Rattus norvegicus: one gene and its partners. The protein of the gene in region 3 interacts with the protein of the main gene of each other region in a pairwise test. Links are inferred from orthologs where the notes say so. Each region holds a gene or a part of one and is shown on either strand. Other genes may lie near its edges. The genes, in order: Kxd1, Ikbip, Tpm3 and Mad1l1.

The links.
Region 1: the proteins of Tpm3 (region 3) and Kxd1 interact in binary tests that used the Homo sapiens proteins (3 or more experiments, as listed by UniProt). The two-hybrid records come from large-scale screens. The link is inferred for Rattus norvegicus from reciprocal best matches to the Homo sapiens genes TPM3 and KXD1.
Region 2: the proteins of Tpm3 (region 3) and Ikbip interact in a two-hybrid assay, tested with the Homo sapiens proteins (2 studies listed by BioGRID). The two-hybrid records come from large-scale screens. The link is inferred for Rattus norvegicus from reciprocal best matches to the Homo sapiens genes TPM3 and IKBIP.
Region 4: the proteins of Tpm3 (region 3) and Mad1l1 interact in binary tests that used the Homo sapiens proteins (3 or more experiments, as listed by UniProt). The two-hybrid records come from large-scale screens. The link is inferred for Rattus norvegicus from reciprocal best matches to the Homo sapiens genes TPM3 and MAD1L1.

The regions. Positions count from the first base shown.
Region 1 is NC_086034.1:18,943,054-18,947,456, forward strand, and holds part of Kxd1 (kxDL motif-containing protein 1), read left to right. Parts: intron 1-875; coding exon of another isoform or gene 876-899; coding exon 900-1,000; intron 1,001-2,746; coding exon 2,747-2,899; intron 2,900-3,573; coding exon of another isoform or gene 3,574-3,784; exon of another isoform or gene 3,785-3,813; intron 3,814-4,051; coding exon of another isoform or gene 4,052-4,109; exon of another isoform or gene 4,110-4,235; intron 4,236-4,403.
Region 2 is NC_086025.1:27,473,243-27,477,654, forward strand, and holds part of Ikbip (inhibitor of nuclear factor kappa-B kinase-interacting protein), read left to right. Parts: intron 1-1,535; coding exon 1,536-1,653; intron 1,654-4,345; coding exon 4,346-4,412. UniProt on the Homo sapiens protein: Target of p53/TP53 with pro-apoptotic function.
Region 3 is NC_086020.1:177,819,647-177,824,858, reverse strand, and holds the start of Tpm3 (tropomyosin alpha-3 chain), read right to left. Parts: upstream 3,495-5,212; 5' UTR 3,435-3,494; coding exon 3,303-3,434; intron 800-3,302; exon of another isoform or gene 1-799. UniProt on the Homo sapiens protein: Binds to actin filaments in muscle and non-muscle cells. Plays a central role, in association with the troponin complex, in the calcium dependent regulation of vertebrate striated muscle contraction.
Region 4 is NC_086030.1:19,432,731-19,437,858, reverse strand, and holds the start of Mad1l1 (mitotic spindle assembly checkpoint protein MAD1), read right to left. Parts: upstream 3,078-5,128; 5' UTR 3,034-3,077; intron 2,983-3,033; exon of another isoform or gene 2,964-2,982; coding exon of another isoform or gene 2,827-2,963; intron 1-2,826. UniProt on the Homo sapiens protein: Component of the spindle-assembly checkpoint that prevents the onset of anaphase until all chromosomes are properly aligned at the metaphase plate.

The DNA of each region.
Region 1 (4,403 bases), on a different chromosome or scaffold from region 3:
CATACCAACCACAGTACATACATGCACTCATAAGTATGTATAAAAACCACATGCCAGCACTCAGGAGGTAAGGCAGGAGAATCAGGAAGTCCAGGTTGTCCTCAGCTACACTGTAGGTTGGAGACCACTTTGGGCTACATAGAGAGTTACAGCCAGCTTGGGCTACACAGTGCGACCCTGTCTTGAAAGGAGGGTGTGCTTGCCGCATTAACTGAGCTAATAACATGCTTCTGGACCAAGATTCGGTCTCTAGAACTTACACACAGAGCTGGGCTCAGTGACGGTGAGGTAGAGAGCAGGTACAGGCAGACCTTGGAAGCTGGTGGAAGAACGGACCTGCAGAGGTGCCACAGACTACTTGCTGTAGTGGAAGAGAACCTGAGTTCTGTGTGGTGTCTATGGCCACCTGTAGCTAGCCCAGGGTGTCTGACCTCCTAGGCTCTGTATCTGGAAGGAAAAGCAGTCTCTATAGTTGTCCTCTATCATGTGAGCACTGTAGCACCTGGGCGTGTTCCATGGAAAATACTGACCTGAAGCTAGAAGGGCACACAGGAGAAGTGGCTGGCAGCCTTGCAGAATCATGTGGACAGTGAAAGGAGGGACGGCATTTTCAGCTGTGTCTGTGGAGAGCTCTGAGCTATGCAAGGTGGCAGAGTGAAGAGCTCACCCTTTAGCCCTGGTTCATCCTCCTGCGTCAGCTTCCCAAATGCTGGAATCAAGTGTGCTGCCTTTACAGCCTTCCAGGATTATGTTCTCTAAGAACAAGTCTCTGTCAGGCCCCCAAACAGCCCACGATTTCAGCTGGAGGATATGACGGGCTCTTGATATCCTCACCTATCTAGTGCTGAGCTCACATTCTGTTCCGGTCATTTCAGGCTTCAGGGGTTAAGGAGAAAGAGATGGACACCCCAGACTCAGCCTCAAGGGTCTTCTGTGGCCGCTTCCTCAGCATGGTGAACACTGATGACGTCAACGCCATAATTCTGGCCCAGAAGAACATGTGAGCAGGCCATGGGAGGCATGGGAAGGATCATACCATTTTCCCCAAACCCTGCCCAGAGACGTAACAGAATAAAGAAAACAAGCCCCTAGTTCCCAGCCTTGGCACAGGATCGGATTGCAGCTGTGTGGGAAAGGCCCAAGCAGTTCCTGTCCCCAGGCCAAGGCTGGGAGGGCTGAAGGGATAGGGGTCTCAGGAACTTCTGGGCTGGCTTTTGGCATTGGTACCGAGTGCCCGATCTGGGTCTGCAGGGAGCCTGCTTCAGGATGCTTTGCTCCCTCGCTGGGACAGCCTACCTTGAATTCAGATTGACTGTTGCCAAGCATGTAGATGCTCCCAGCTCTGTTTGTGACACAGCCTGCAGCCAGAGGCAGTGTCTTGTGGGGTTCTTTACCTTGGGTTATTTACTTAGTTATGTTTTGTTGTTGCGTTGGGGTTTGTTTGTTTGTTTGTTTGTTTTTAGGTTTTGCCACCATGCCCAGGACTTATCCTGGTTCTTCAGGTTAGGTTCAGATATGTCCACGTAAACTCCCAGACTAACAGTGACAAAACTCCCAGACTAACAGTGACAAAATCAAATGGGAACTGTCCTGGCCTTTGGGACTGACTTGGGGTTTACACAGTGTAACAAGGAGCAGTCAGCTTGAGGATTGAGTGATTCTGAGAAAGGACATCAACTTCCTATTGATGTGACAAAATGCAGGAGGTGGTACCTAACAGAGAAAGGCTTTCTGGCTTAGATTTCTGTCCATCTTTTTTTTTTTTTTCGGAGCTGGGGACCGAACCCAGGGCCTTGCGCTTTCTAGGCAAGCGCTCTACCACTGAGCTAAATCCCCAACCCTCTGTCCATCTTTTGAAGCTGTTTGTAGCCAAGAAGCCAAGAAAGAAATGGGGGGAGAGGTTGGGTTCCCAAGATCCTCTTCATTGTGTACCCCAATGTTCCACCCCTTCTCCCCCAATATCATACACATTTTCAGAATATTGGTCTGGGGAAACATTTAAAAACTAAACCTTGGGGGCTGGGGATTTAGCTCAGTGGTAGAGCGCTTACCTAGGAAGCGCAAGGCCCTGGGTTCGGTCCCCAGCTCCAAAAAAAAAAAACTAAACCTTGAAAAGAAAAAAACATGTGCTGAGAGATGTAAAGTGGCTACGAGTACTAGCTGCTCTTAAGGGGGGTTCCCAGCACCCACATGGCAGCTCCCTACTGTAGCTCATGTTCCAGGGGACACACCTTCTGACCTTCGTAGGCTGTGTGTGCACATGCTCCATGCACATGCTCCACAGAGGCACAGAGGCAGAGCACATAATAGAACATCAGTATGGCCCTGGTGTGGCAGGCAGCGCACACCTTTAACTCCTTCCTGAGCTCCAAGCCAGTCAAGGCTACAGACACTGTCTCAAAAATGCCAGCTTCATGCCTGGACATAGTGCACACGCCTGTAATTGCTGTACTTCTCTAGAGGCAGTTCAAGGTCAGTTTAGAACATAAGAGTAGGTCCCAGGCAGGGCAACATCCTGTCAGAGGACTAATGCCCACTAAAGAACTCCATGAAATATGTAGGCTGCAACAAAGAGTGCCTTTGAATAGGGCTTTCAACTGTGAGTAGGAGTTGGGCGACCAGAACAGCAGACAGAATTCCTCAGGCCTTGACTCTGTAATTAAATGCAGAGGCTATGACTCAGGGATTAGCTCAGGCTGAGGGAGTTCCTAGGCCTGATGCAAAGGCCCTGGCCCTCTCCCCCTAGGCTGGACCGCTTCGAGAAAACCAACGAGATGCTTCTGAACTTCAACAATCTGTCCAGCGTGCGGCTGCAGCAGATGAGCGAGCGCTTCATGCACCACACCCGCACCTTGGTGGACATGAAACGGGACCTGGACAGCATCTTCCGCAGGATCAGGTGGCCCCCTCCCCCCAGAGCTCTTCTGTGGTCTCACAGCCAGATGCTTCCTCAGCACATCTTCCCCAAACCACTGTTCTCAATCCCCCACTCTTGGCCCTTTCTGTCACCAACTCTTTAGATGTCCAGCGCCTTCACTCTGAAGCTCTTCCTAGTACCTCCAAGACCCTACCCCAGGGCCCTTTGCTCACCTCTGCCTCCTTAGTCCCTTAAGTCCTTGCTCCACCCTCTCCCCTCTCCCTCCCCTCCGAGGCCTCCTCTTCTCTTCACTAGCTCTGCCCTCTGTCTTCTTCAGTCTAGGGAATTATGGATGTTTAACAAGACAGATCTGACCTCTGAGGGAGTGATATGGAAGTGAATCTCTTCCCACCCCTTCTTTTTTTTGTGTGTAGCCTTTGTGTTCTGGAACTCCCTCTGTAGACCAGGCTGGCCTTAAACTCAGAGATCCATCTGCCTCTGCTTCCTGAATGCTGGGATTGAAGCTTGGGTGTTTAATCACCCAGTTGTGACTTTCCCTTTTACTTGGAACCTGTGCTACATAGTTGGGACCCTATACGAGTCAGGAGGCGGGTAGACAGGCCGGGCCCTCCACTTCTGGCTGACTGGCCAGCAGAGAACCGGGGCCCCGTGTCCATCCTGGATATAGGTAGGGTTTGGTTTGGGTCTTCCCACAGTGGTGCTCGCTCCTGGACCATGATATCCACGTCTTTGGCACTCAGCATGGTCCTTCAGGTGTACTCCACAGCCTCACCCACCACTGTGGCAGACACACCAGCAGCCAGCTGCCCAGACCAGAACAGCCAAGACCACGGGATCCAGATCACACGTGTGCCCTATCCTCTAGCCCAAGGCTGTGTGGCCTGGGGACCTAAGGGAACAAAGTAAACTCTACCCAGAAGTCTTGAGATGCTCTATACCAGTCTATTTAATGTTTTTATTGGTGCTGTTTTGCTTTGTTTTTGAGGCAAGGTCTCAATTGCTGTCCTGAAACTCACAAAGATCCACCTGCCTCTGCCTCCCTGGTACCAAGGTGCTCTGCTGCCCTTGTCTGCTAGTTTTTCTAGCCCCGAATGCCAGGCTGACTCGACATGTAGTTTGGGGAATAGGTAGCTCTTTGAGCCCCAAGAGTAAATACAGCAGCATGTGTCCTAGATCCCCAGAAAGGAGACAAGAGTCCAGTGTGTCAAGTGCTGAGCCTCACAAGTGCTGAGTCATTGTGTGACTGCCACACTGGCTGCTGTCAGTGTATGGGCTGACTCTCTGAAGACCCTTCTTTAGCCCGTCAGGCCTGGAGTGCAGGACTTCAGGGCAGAGCAACCAGAAGCCAGTTCATAAGGTAATAAAGCCAACTGGGGGTGGTGATTCTGTACCAGAGCTTGAGATAGGAGGGACTTGATTTCCAGGTCAGTGGCAGCTCTGTGGTGACTTCAAGGCCAACCTGAAGTCAAAAAGGGGCCTGAGGAGGAGGCTCTGCTCAGCACATACATAAGTTTGGCACACTGGC
Region 2 (4,412 bases), on a different chromosome or scaffold from region 3:
AAACACAGCTCAGCTGCACTTTGAGGGGCCTCTCGCCTCTCTACGAAGCTTTGGAGTCCTTCGTCTTCTCTGAGAAAGTATAAGATATGATCAATGAGGGAAGCTCAGCTCGCCTGCAGAGTCAGACGACCTGGGAAGCTATTAGAATATCCAATATCCGAGCCATATCCATGACTAACTAAATAGGAGTCTCTGTCATTGAGACCCCAGGCATGGATGTGTTAGCGCTGTCTGGTGACTGGTTCCAATGCTTAGGGAAGATTTGCAGTCACTAATCTGGATCCTATGACTTAGGGACCTCTCATGATTCTGCTCCGTTGCTTTCTGATGGCTCAGTGCACAAAACATGTGGAACCCAGAGAACTGACTTACTGTAGATAAACAACATGTTATTAAACCTAAGATTTCTTCTGTGCCTACTCATTTCAAATCTTCTCCAAAGATATGTTTATTTATTATCCCGAAGATTGGATAAGGGGGTCTGGCTAACTCATTCAATAAAACAACAGATTATTTTTTTTCTTTAAAGATTTATTTATTTATTTTATGTATGTGAGTACCCTGTAGCTGTCTTCAGACACACCAGAAGAGGGCATCAGATCCCATTACAGATGGTTGTGAGCCACCATGTGGTTGCTGGGAATTGAACTCAGGACCTCTGGAAGAGCAGTCAGTGCTCTTAACCGCTGAGCCATCTCTCTAGCCAAGGTTAGCTTCTTTTTTTTTTTTTTTTTTTTTTTTTTGGTTCTTTTTTTTTCGGAGCTGGGGACCGAACCCAGGGCCTTGCGCTTCCTAGGTAAGCGCTCTACCACTGAGCTAAATCCCCAGCCCCCAAGGTTAGCTTCTTATGTGGGTGCTAAGGAGCACACTCATGCTTACATGGCTATCGCATTATCAACTGAGCCATCGCCCTACACCCTAAGCCCCCATTTCACAATGACATCTACACCATACCTACGAGTATACTGCTGAGTACAGTCAAATAGAGTTGTCACACCCTGCTTTGCGTAGGGCAATGGCTGTCTGTATTTCTGTCTCTTCTTCCTCTTTCTTTCTGAGTCAGTCTCCTGCAGCTCCAGTTGGCCTTCAAGCCTCCGACTCACTGTGCGATAATGGAGGATAACATGACCTAGAACCTATAGAACCTCCCTGAATAATTACAATTATAAGCACTCATACCGTAGTTTGGACAATAGTTTGGGCGATGATAGCTTGGTATGCTGGGTATTGAACTACTGGCCTATATCCTCAGAAGAGATCAAAGTTTTTATTCCAAATAGTTCAACCCTGGATTCTTCCAAAATATTTCTTTTTCTTACATCTGTGAGGGATGCTCCTCGGCCTCCCTCCCTGAGCCAGGAGCTCTGAAGAGAGGCGGTGTTGACTCATCTTTGCATTGAGCTAATGCAGTCACCTCCCACACAGCAGGCCACCTGGATGGTGAAGTCATCTGACTAATTCTGCCGCAGCTATCCGGGGACTACATATTGTTCTCACCAGGAGTGAGTGATAGTCATGAAGTTTTTCTTTTCCAGGCTTGTATTTCAACAGTCAGAAAAGTTTGCGAAGGTCGAAAACCAGTACCGGTTACTGCAAACAGAGAGCAGCGAGTTTCAAGGACTCCAGAGTAAAATCAGCTTAATTTCCAACAAGGTAATGTATTCATTAATTTGTGTGGTAGAGATACTCCCCTTGCTACGAATACCATTCTCCTACTTCAGGTCAAAGCGTCTTTCTTCTGCCTTCAAACTATTACTATTTTAACTCCTAAGTGGACTTTCTCCTCTCGGCATCCTCCCTGTGATCCGAGTTAGTTCCCAGGAAGTGTTGAAAGGATGGTTGTTGCTCCAGCTGGCCATGATATTGACGCCTTCAATTCCAGCACTCTGTAGACTGAGGCAGGCAAATCTCTGAGCTCAACGCTGGCCTGGACTACAAAGCAAATTCCAGACCAGCCAGGGCTAAACAAAACAACGAAGGCATGCTTGATCTTTAGATATAAAGTTAGAACATGGGACCAGCCAGATGGCGTAGTGGGTAAAGCTCTTGTTGCCAAGATGAATGTATTCAGCTCCATCCAGTCCTCACCCAAACCTAACACTATCACTAGTTAGTTACAAGTGCTTCTCTGAACTTCTGTTTAGATGAACTTCTAACTGTGGTGTGGCTGCATGCGTGAATTAAAATGGCTTCTGGACATTTCTAAGTGGTCTTCTTTTATTACCTAGTTCTGTTATACACGTGCCATCTAACACCCGGATAGCACTGTTTCGCCTACTAGATAGATCCTTCGTTCAGATGGTCCCAGAAAGCAGTTGGCATACTGAATCCCCTCAGGGGTTTTCTGCATCTCCCTTACATCAGATACTGCCCATATCCATCAAGACGTGTGTTCCGGGAGCTGGAAAGGTGGCTCAATGGTTAAGAGTACTGGCGCCTATCAGAGGACCCAGGTTCAGTTCCCAGTACCCACATGGTTGTTCACTACCATCCCTAACTGCAGTTGCAGGAGATCCCAAGCCTTGTTCTGATGACTGTAGCACTACATACATGTGGTACACATACATTCATACACAGAACTTTTACGATTTCTAAATGTTAAAAAAAGAAGAAGAAGAAGAAAGAAAGAAAGAAATGTGTTCCGGAAACTCTTGATATTTTGGGACAAAAGCCACCACAACAAAACCGGAAGGAATGGAGACCCTCAGCTCCTCACCGTGCCTTAATCCATCTGTTGAGGCGATTTCAGTCACATTAGGCTTCCCCACTTTACTCTCCTGCCTTACCTCTCCTCTGAGCTTTCACTGTGCCCTGTGTTGAGTCCGTCATCACACTAATGTCACCAGTTACTAATTTGTTGTCCCCCACACTTCCCTTTGGAACAAACACGCATCTTCTCTCTGTGTCTCTCTAACACCTAGACACGAAGCTAGCTCATCGGGGATGAGCAGTAACTCTTATCAGGACCCTGGAGTGTTGGATACAGAAGAGTCAAAGCATTTTCTGCTCCATCGAGTTGATATTGTTAAAGATTTATTTATTTATTTATTTATTTATTTATTTATTTATTTATTATATATAAATACACTGTAGCTGTCTTTAGACACACCAGAAGAGGGCATCAGATCCGATTACAGATGGTTGTGAGCCACCATGTGGTTGCTGGGAATTGAACTCAGGACCTCTAGGAAGAACAGTCAGTGCTCTTAACCGCTGAGCCATTATCTCACCAGCCCCAAATTGGTATTTTTATAACTGGCATCTTGCACAAGGTCTGAGCACTTAAGGAACTACATGTAGCAACTAATAATATAACTGCAGGATGTCCTGACCTGACTAAGGCTATGGACTTGTCTTACAAGTATCAGGAATCATCTCAGGTTTTTTAATGGTGTTGCGTGACATGCTTGGCAGTTTTCAAAGCCTTAATATGGTAAGTAGTGGGTAAGGTGGTTTAGAAAGGACGGGATTATTAGATGGTGCTTCTGAAGGAATTTACTTGGTCCCTGAAGTCCAGGTCAGGGCTCCGCTAAGTGCTTGCATGTGTCCCCCTTGTTCGAGTGCCTGCAAATTGCTTCCTACGTAAACCACTGAAGGGCAGAGCTGTGACTTGTTCAGTGTCCTGTCACAGAACAGTGCTGCAAACACTTCATAGCTTATTAAGCTAGGTTCTCGCTAAAGCTTGTATCATGTGAGGATGGAAACTAGGTAAGTCCCTGGCCCTTCCAAATATCCCAGGCCCGTTCTAAGAGGCCCTAGAGGCACATCCTGATTTACAGACAGACGTTCTGCCATTTGATGGTATGTGTCTCAACTATTTTTATAAAAGTTCATTCTTGCCCTTTTTACAACCCAATTCTAGTCCTTCCTCTGTAAGAGGTTAGCAAAAAGAGTGGTAAGGATTCAACCAGAAACTTTCAAAGTCATAGGATTTAGGGAGGTGGCGAAGTCTACATTGTTACACTTTCCCAAGCCAAATAGCCATAAAAATGACATCTACTTACTTTCAATGTTTTGAAAAAAAGAACTGCAATAGACTTCAAAAAATTTGACATCATTTATTTTGACTATGCATGCCCTCGTGAAAGAGATCTGTTAAATAACTAGGGTTATGAGTTCAGGTATACATTCTTCTAACAGTTGGTTTATAAATCTGTCATCTATTAAATTTGTTTAAGCTATTTAATAATAAATGTTTCTGTCAATGTGATTCAGATGTGCTTAGATCTTTTAGGCACCTTCAGAATTTGAACCTTGTATATGACATGCTCTTGATTGCTGAAGTATGTTTCTCTAATATAAAAGTATTAAGTAGCTCAGGGATTGTTTTGTGTTATAAATACAGCTTGAGTCTACTGAAAATACCCTGCAGGAAGCTACATCATCCATGTCTTTGATGACCCAGTTTGAAC
Region 3 (5,212 bases):
GGTTGCTGGGAATTGAACTCAGGACCTCTGGAAGACAGACAGTGCTCTTAACCACTGAGTCATCTCTCCAGCCCAATGATAAATTCTTTAATGTGAAAAGAGGCCCAAAGCATACCACATCCCTTAATGCAAGGAGCTGTGGAAGCTGGTAGAGACAGAGCAGGGCCAAGGACAGACGGGAGAAGTCTAAATCTGGCACTCTGCCACACTGGGGTTTCCCTTTTTAGATAGAAGTCACAGGTGTAACTCACAGTAGAGACAGTACTAGAGAAACCAGGCCTGTGGGGAAGAAAGGACTGCTGTGCCCTGTGTTCACACATGCACACCCACTGTGTTCACACAAGCCAGGGAACTTTCCTCAGGAAATTTTACCAAGGGGGAGGGAGGCTGGGGATTGGAGCTATCCGCCCCTCAGAGTCAACAGAGGTGGAGTCTAGGCAGAGGCACTTAAGAGCAAAGGGCTGTTTGCCTCTCCTGGAGGAGTGTGCTCTAAAATAGGGGGCAGAGAAAGGCAACCAGCAGCCAAACCAACCCAAACCTCTAACAGGAGGAGAGGTCACAGTGCTCATGTGTCCACCAGACACACACACCCAAGCATCCTGGGCCCCTTCCCAGACCAAGAATTTAGGATCAAAGTTAGGAACTTCTGTTCAACGCCCACTCTCCTCTCGGTGGTACTTCGGTTTTGGAGCACAACCAAAGGAAAAGTCAAAAATACCATAGAAAACGTGGAGAGAGAGAGAACTAGTTTTTAAAGGGTAAGATGAACCACTCACTTAAAAATGCTAACAATGGGGCCAGAGAGATGGCTCAGAAGGTAGAGCTGCTCTTTGTAGACTTTGGCTCCCACTTTGCCTGGGGGGGGGGGGGGGAGGTGCATCCACAACTACCTGCAACTCCAGCTCAAGGGGGTCAGACACCCACACACACATATATGAATAAAATTAGTAATAAGAAAGGTCACAGTGGAGACACAGGCACGGCAGTTGAACACGGGAGGAGACTATTCCAGAGGCAATGCAGAAGGCTCACTTGAGTCCAACAGTTGAAGGGCCAGCCTGTGCAGGTAAGTTCTCATGTTATACATGCATCTTTTTATCACTAACAATAAGCGCATTGAATTTTACACTGTTACCTGTTGAAGTTTCGACAAGACAGTGTAGTCGAGAGGTTGAGAAAGTTTGTCTTAACATAAGGCCCTAGGTCTGATCCCAACACCACTTAAGACCCAAAACAAGAAAACACTCTTATCAAACACAAAGGAAATTCAAAACTGAAAGTAAACCTTCACGGGGAGCTATGTTATAAAAGGCCTGGCTGCCCTCAGAACTTGCCGCCCAGCTTTGGCCATGTCTAGTTTAACAAAGGCAGCTTGGATCCCCATACAGAGTGCAACAAGACAGTCTATACTAATACGACATAGGATTTCCACCAGGTAGTGTGGCAGGAGGACCCTACAAAACCCACATTCCACAGCAGCCCTACAAGAAAGAGGTGACTCAAGCATCTCCCTTCCTCCTCTGACTCTTCAGTAGAGGCTCAAAGTTCGAGAGTGCAAAAAGTCAAAAGCTCACAAAGAAGATACTAGTTTCATCAATATTTAACTACCACCCTACTTCCCCATTCTGAGGACTTCCTCAGGAGGCTTCTGTGAAATAAGCACATTTGGTAAGCCCTGAACATGTGAAAACACTCAGGTGGCTTATCATCCCAGAGTCATCACGCAGAAGAAAGGAACGCCAAATGTACCTGCAAGGAAAATGACCAAACTCTGGGACAGAGAGACACACCCTAAAACTACTCCAGGGTACCTACATTTAGACATCAGCCTAACACCGCTGCACCCGGCTAATTCCTTCCACTGTACTCTCTTTTCTTTTCTGGAGACTTCCTCATCTCTACAGCAATCTCACTAGACTTGATAAGGAGAAGTTACAGGCATGCCAGGAGTGGCCAAGCAAGCCTACAGTAATTCCCAAAGTAATTCCAGCACTTGAGAAGCTTAGGCAGGAGGATTGCTGGGAATACAAAGAGACATCCTGTCTCAAAACAGTCGTACTGGACACCTAGGGTGATGTGAAGACAAGCTCTGTCATCTCTATGCCCATTATAAAGAATTTTTATAACGTTTAAACATTAACTTGGAAGGGAGCTGTGCTCTCCTTTTCCACACTTACCCCTTTTGCCCCCTCAAAAATATCGTTACTCCTCAAATGAACAGCAGAAAGGCAGAGAGAAAGAGAGAGAAAGAGAAAGAGGGAGAAAGAGAGAGAGAGAGAGAGAGAAAGCAAGAGCAATAAAGAACGCCAGTAAACCACAAGAGTTCTTTTTCATTAGGTCTTAAGCAGGAATCCATTCATACCACTAACACAGTTGAACAAAACCCACTAGATAGCTAAGAAAACAGCTTCCCCCGAAATCACCAGTGCCACTCACTAATCTGTTCCCATCCTCCAATGTTCCAATCAGTCAGGAACCTTGAAACTGGCGTGGCATTTGACTCTCTGCTATACACTCCCTTATCAGCCAGCTTAGGAGAAATGTTCTAAGTCAAATTTGTACTGCTCACATTTCTGGCAGAAGTTCCTGCCTTCCAGGTCATGATGGGCAGGGCCTACTAGGTTTGCTGGCTCCGACATTTGCTAACAACGTGGGGAGTACCATCTCCTCTCCCACTTCACAAGTGAGGGGCGGGAATGCCAGTTAGTTATAAAAGGTCCCCAAGTTCGAGGATGGGAGGTCTTAAGCTCCGCCAGTGAGGGAGGGAACCGCGCTTCCTCTCAGCCAACTGCTGGCTCATTTCCTGAGCAGGAGGAGGGAGCGGAAAAGCTGCCAGTAGGCCAGGTCGGGGGCTTTCCGGCGGTTCCCACCTCCCACCCTCATTTTTCACAGGTTAGGCTCGGCCCCCTCCCGGACCAGAGAAGCACTCACTAACTTCTACCCCTCAGACCGGAAACCTCTAGCGAGAGTAAAAGGTCCCCACCCTTCTCAGAGAAGTGGGGGAGGGAAAGACCGCTGAGCCCCTCCCCTGGCCGCGCCCGGCTCCGAGGGACTGAATGAATGAGCTGGGGGAAAAAGGGAGAGGGCAGCCCGCGCCGCGCGGAGCTCGATTTTTTCCAGGGTCTATCTAGCCTGCTCGCGCAAGCACTTAGTTTCCTCCGCAGCCGCTTACCGGGCCATCGTAATCGAGTCCCACCCAACCTTCGGGCTCCACGACCAGTCAGGGCTTCCAGGGCTCCATGGAGCTGAGCACAGCAGAGTGCTGATCCCTTCCCTGCTACGCCCCGACTCTCCGTGCTTACCTGCTCCCGGGCCCGCCTTTCTCCCTCCACTTCCCGCTGGAGGCGCTCGGCCCTCTCCTCCGCATCATCAGCCTGCTGCTGCAGAACCTGGATCTTGCGCTTTACCGCCTCGATGGTGGTGCTCCCGGCCATGGTGCCTACCCAGCTGCTTCTGGAAATCAGGTTCCTACCTCCTCCGCTCGGCGTTGTAGCCGCTTTTCACCCTACTTCCGCCTGCTCCGCCCTGAAATACCGGAACTCACTCACCCGCCCGGATGTGACGCCGCCACCACCGCGCGTCCTCCCCCTGCCAAGCAGGCGGGAACGCAGTCCACTCGAGGGGCAGCGGGCAGAAAGTGAGGGGTGGAGCCTCCCAGTAACCCTAGGCGACCACTCAGGGCGGTCTTTCCTTAGACCAGTAAAGGGGGGCGGGGTTTGGTAAGGCTACCATAGTAACTGAGAGGCGCTTCATAGTCTAGCCTCACCCACCAGGCTACCTCCCAACAATGGCTGTCCCATTTACTAGAATGGTGCTGTCGTGATCACTTACGCAGGTGACCCCTCTCTTATCCAGTGCCTCCCTACCACTATGTCCGCTCCGCAATATAAAGTATCCCATATGCTTTCCTTTCTACTCAGTTTACAACAGACTCCAAAACAAGGTTCTGAGACAAGCCTAGAAGACTCTAGCCTTCATCTTGCAAGGAGTCGCAGTGAGCTCCTTTGAAAACCTATTAGGAGGGGCTGTGGATATTGCTCAGATTGTAGATCACTAGCCCAGCATCACTAGCTCTGGGCTGGATCTCCAGGAGCACTTAAACTGTCATAGTGGAGGGTGGACACAGAAAGAGCAGAAATCCAAGGTCATCCTTGGCTACATGGTGAATTCAAGACTAGTCTGAGCTACATAAAACTCTGTCTCAAAACAACCCCAAAAACTGTTGAGACAGTTCTCTCCCATTCCCTGCAAGTCGATACCAGAACTACCAGATGGAAAAGATTGGCAAGTTGGCATTCTATTAGGATCAGCTCTGAACTGAGGTGTTTTGTTTGAATAGTAGTTTTGTCCCCTGAAGCTTTTAAGAGAGTCCATAGGAATGAGCAGTTAACCTGCCACCACCCCCTTTTACCCTTAAAATGATTTTGGACTTGGAATTTAATATTCATGTACAACTCCTTTTGTAGACAAGATATTTACACTTCTATCATCATATCCTTGGTGCGACAGAAAGATATAAGTATATGGAAAACTACTGTGGAATTTAACCTCTGAATTGTAGTAACTTCCACTAGTTTCACTTTGGCTTTCAGGTACTCCAAGGAGCTATTATATGAGTTCAAAACTACTTCTACAGGTCCTATTGGTCAGGATTTCTGGAGGCACAACTATAACGAGGTTTATTTTGTTTTCCCTTTGCTTCTCTAGGTTTTTTTTTTTTTTTTTTTGATTCATTCATTTATGTATGAGTGAGCTCTCTGTGGGTGCACCTCCATGCCAGAAGAGGGCATCAGATGACATTACAGATGGTTGTGAGCTACCCTATCTTTGCTGGAAATTGAACTCAGGACCTCTGGAAGAGCACAGACAGTGCTCTTAACCGCTGAGCCATCTCTCCAGCTCCTGCTATTCTAGTTTTTGCTTCCTTTGTTTTATATTTGGTTTTTGAGATTGTATCTGAGGTAGTCCTGACTGGCCTCCAACTCATTTTTGTAGCCCTGGTTGGTCCTAACCTTTGGACCCTTCTTTATCGACTTCCTAAGAATTGAAATTTCACGTGTGAACTCTCACATCGTACCTTTATTTCTCTGACTTTCTACCACCTTCTCAGTAATTAATCATGATAAATCCCTCCCTTGATAAACCTCTTTCCTTCCCTTGAGAAATAGGATATGAAGTAGGATTTAGAACTAAGGATATTAACTTGAGGTTG
Region 4 (5,128 bases), on a different chromosome or scaffold from region 3:
AAGAGTCTGGATAGAAATGTCCACTCCCGGGGCTGGGGATTTAGCTCAGTGGTAGAGTGCTTACCTAGGAAGCGCAAGGCCCTGGGTTCAGTCCCCAGCTCCTAAAAAAAAGAACTACAAAAAAAAAAAAAAAGAAAGAAAAGAAATGTTCACTCCCACCCCAGCAGGGGAGAGGACAAGGCTGGGCCTGCATGAAAGGTGCCTAATAGCCAGAAGAGGCAACAACAGCTCACCCCGGGCTTTCTGAAAGAATAGCCAGGGGACAGAGAAGAGCTCTTTTCAGATCGGTGACTGGGATGGACCAGGGAAGGAGGAGATTTAGGTACTGATTCGGATCACACAGGGGCTGTACTGGCAGGAGTGTTGCACTCCCATGGGCATGGAGTCCAAGCAAAGGGAGAACAGGGCTCTTACAAGAGACCTGGGTAAGGACAACCAGCAGTATCCCACTGTCAGACTGAAGCCAGGAGCTAGAAAAATGAAAAACTGGAGAGAATGCAGACAACCTCTTATACCAAGATTCTCGAGTGGCAAGCAGTGACAGATGGCATCTAGTCAGGCAGAGAGAACTAAGCCCTGTAAGGCCAGAGGACATGGCTGCAACTTTGTGGCCCTGGCTGGATGCTCTTCTCCATTTGGGATAATGGAATCACTGTGGGATGTCTGTAACTTTAATGTCTGTGAGTTACCTGGTGTAGGGCTGGGGAAACAGCTTAGTGGTTAAAGATGCTTCCCATGAAGCCTATGGACCTGTGTTTGAGCCCCATGACCCACAAGGAGGAGGAAAGAGCTGATCCCACACTGTGACACCTGACACCCTGGAATTCAGACACGAGCACCTTTTTAAGAATGGGGTCTATAGAGTACCCTCACAACAAAAGCAGAAAGATCCAGGACTAGGCAACATTTTAGCCTTTAACTCACTCTCGGTGCTCCTCCAAACGACTGCCTGGTCCCCCTAGAACAGACACTAGGGCAGGTCTAGAATATTCTGATAAGTCTGAATAAGTAGACCCTTAATGCAATGAGAACAAAACAGACTTGCCAGCAACGGACAATATTGCCCTGGAAGTCACGATGGTGATGGGGGCAGAAGACCCTCTTCAGTCTTCTATCAAGCCAAGTAATCACATAACCTTTCTTTAGGGGGTCACCTGAGCTGTCCTAGTACTTCCAATTAGAGTCAGCCCATGGGATAGTGAGTGAACCAATGGATTGTGGTCCCTGTCCTTAGTGTGGAAGGAATCTGCATGTGCCTCTGTAGCTGTCTAAACTCCTTCACAATCTTCTCAGGACAGAATGGAGAGACTGCCATATATGTCATGCCAGGTGAGACTGAAGGACCAGGTAAGGTGTTGGCATTCCTTGCAGTGGGGGAGAGGGTCAGTGGCAAAGAAGCCCAAGCATTTCTCAATTGGAGAAAGGTCCTGAAGAAAAAAGGAATGTATATGAGGGCTGAGGCAAGATCACATGTTGCAGGCCAGCCTGGGTTACACAGAGACCTAAGAATACAGCTAGACCCAATCTCAAAAGGGCCGGGGGAGGGTTACTTTGCAGAAATTTCTTCTGAATTTTTCACTTAACAAGAACCTTAGTGTACACCCCAAATACACACACAACAAAGCAAGAGCTGGTCACCAGATGGAGAACAGACGCAGTGGGAAGAAGTAGACCTCTGTTCTCAAAGATCGAAGGAAAAGTCACACTTTCTGTCCTCCCTCTCCAGGACAAGAACTCAGCCACAGACACAAGAACCATTTCAGAAGCCACACAGGTAACTAAATCGTCACCTCAAACTGTACCCTCTCTACAGGAACCCTGAACTTCCAGGCAACAGACCTTCCAGAACACCAGCTGCCCTGGATGGCTTCTGACTTAACAGGTATGCACACACCTTCTTTCTGGTCTCAGCCAAGGCACAGCCTAAAAACCTGGCAATTGGTGACACAGGCTTGTCATCCCAGGTACTCAGAAGGCTGAGACAAATTCAAAGGCTGGTTGCAAGTTCAAGGCCAGCCTGGAACACTTGGGAAGTCCCGTCACAGAATAAAAATTAAGAGGAAAAAGTAAGAATCGGGCTGAGGAGGCAGCAGAGTCGGTAACTGCTTAGCATGCATGAAGCCCTAGGCTCAATCCTATGAACTGCGGGGGAAGAAGGGGGCCCAAAAAACAGCTCAATCTGCAATGCACTTTAGGGCTAGACAGACAAGCAAGGTTCCATCTCTAGGATCCATACAGAGGAAGAAGAGAACTAAGTTAACCTCCCTCCACCGGTAGCCTGGTATACACCGGCAAACACACACACAATTAATTAATTAATTAATTTGCTAATTAATTAATTAGCCCGTCCATTTATTTTTAAAAGAGCTGTGGACATAGTTCAGTGGTAGAGTGCATAAGGTCCTAGGTCAATCAACAGTACTGCCAAAATCAGGCAGACAGACAGACTGACAGACAGGCAGGCAGGCAGACAGACACACACACACAGCCAATCAATTAACTTTTAAAAGGGATGGGGACATAGTTTAGTGATGGAGTGCATAAGGTCCGAGGTTCAATCAACAGTACTGCCAAAAACAGGCACACACATACACACAGAGAGACAGAAAGAGACACAGAGAGAGACGAGAGACAGAGAGACAGAGAGACAGAGACAGAGAGGGCTTGACATACGACTCAGCGCTTACGAGGGCTTGCCACCAAGACTGTCAATCTGAGTTCGATCCCTGGGATCTACAAGGTAACTGACTCCAACCCCGGGAGCCCTTCAGCCCACAGCAGACCACTCGGTCCCCTCCGCCCCGGTTCCGGTCCAGGCACGCCTACCCGCGCCCTGCAACGGGACACGGGGGTCCACAGCGGCCCCGGGAGCACGACACGGAAGACCCCGCAAAGGGAAGTCGCGCGACAGGATCGACTCGGACTGTGTGCATGCCGGAAGGCAGCGGACAGCTCCTTCCCATGGCGTCGGTACGGTCGGGCAGCGCGCGCAGCGCCTGGGGAACTCGCAGACCCGACCACTCGGCCACTTACCCGAGTTGAGGAGCCGAGTGCTGCAGCAGCGGCTCAGATCTCCCTCCTCTCCGCCGGTGCCTATGTATCGCGAGACTTCCGCGAGGGTCTCGCGAGATCTGAGAAAACGGCCCGTAAAGAATCAAATATGCGCGCCACAGGCGTGTCCTGAGAACAACTGCTGTCCTGCCAAGGGGCTGGAAACCACACTGAGCCAGGGTGCCTGTCCCTCAGGGCGCTCTTCGAACGCCACCCAGTGCGCCGTAATGTGTGGAGTAGCACTGCTTGGGAGGGAACGTTTGTTTTGCTTTTGTGTCAGTGTTTCTCTGTGTAGCCTCTAACTCACAAAGATCTTCCTAGTGCTGGATGGAATTAAAAGGCTTGCACCACAACTGCTGGGCATGGAAAGTAAACATAGCTTTGGAAAGTTGATTTTTCTCTGAATCTTGCCACTGTGTATGTATACACAGGTTGTTTTGTTTGGGGCGGTGTTTTGATTGGTTAGCTTGTTTCATTTTCTTTCCTTTGTAAATGAGAATTCCTGGGAAGAAATTGTGACTGTAAAGGCGGATTGGCTGGTTGCCTTCGGTAACGTTGCCGGTCCAGAGCCTGTTGTAATTTGTCTTGGGCTCTATCTTTAACCCCCGTCATACCCATTGCTTACCCGCCTCTGTGTCAGCTCTAACGTGTTGTGACTTATGGATAAAAACCTCTTGGAATACATTAAAACCCAGTTTCTACCAACCAAAAGCCCACGAACTGCATGAGAAGCATATAGCTGCTATTTCTCTGCTTTGCTATAACTGCCTACTTAAATCTTCCACTAGTCTATTTGTTTTCATGTTTTATTATTTTATGGGTGTTTTGTGTGCATACATGATGCCCATAGAGACCAGATGAGGACAACAGATCCTCTGAAATGGGAGTTAGATGTCTATGCGCCAAGATGTATGCGCTGAGCATTGAATCTGGGGTCTCTCGAAGAGCAACCAATGATCTTAACCCGAGCCATTTCTCCGCCCCACCACCAAGAAAGATTTTGTTTGCTTTGGTTTTTGTTGTTGTTTGTTTCGTTTTGTTTTGATTTGTCTGGTTTGGGTTTTTAAAGGCAGGGTTTCTCTGTGTGCCTCAAGGCTGCCTCCACCTGCCTTTGCACCCCACCCCCAACTGCTGAGAATAAAGTAATGCGCCGCCTGTCCCCCACCAATGTATTTTTAAAGTGCCTTGATTCATGACTTTCTTTATTCTGTTACTATAAAAATTTCCTCACTGCTTCCAGACTGGAACATGGAATTTGGGGTAACTTAATTTTAAGTCTGTGTTTCTGGGACATTTGGCTCAAGAATAAACGACCTGTCCATCTCGGTGGTAGTGGCACATGTGTCTAATCCCAGCACTCTGGAGGCAGAGGCAGGAGTTTCTCTGTGAGTTCAAGGCCAGCCTGGACTACAAAGGAAGTTCCAGGACACCCAGAGCTACACAGAGAAACTCTACCTGGAAAAACCAAAAAGTAAAAACATTGGGCTGGAGAGATGGCTAAACCGTGAAGAGCATTGACTGCTCTCCCAGAGGTCCTGAGTTCAATTTCCCACAACTACATGGTGGCTCACAACTATGTGTAATCTGTCTGTAATGTGTCTGGTGTGTCTGAAGACAGCAACGGTTTCCTCATTATATATAAAATAATAAATCTTTCAAAAATAAATAAACACAAAAGATTCTTGCATCCGTTTTGAGATGAATGTTGTATTTTGGGGTCAAGCTGAGAAACAGAATCTTACCCTGTACCCCAGGTTGGCCTGGACCTCACAGCAACCCATCAGCCTTCTGAGTGTCCTGAAACAGCCCTGCTCCTCAACTGGCCCTTTGGTTATCAGACTATTGAAGCAAAGGGCCGAGGGCTGGAGAGATGGCTCCGCGGTTAAGAGCACTGACTGCTCTTCCAGAGGTCCCGAGTTCAATTCCCAGCAACCACACGGTGGCTCCCAGCCATCTGTAATGGGATCTGATGCCTTCTCCGGGTGTACATACAGATAGAGCACTGATATTACCTAAAGGTAATAAATAAATCTTTAGAAAAAGAGAAAGAGCCACAAGACACTAGATATCCTCCCAA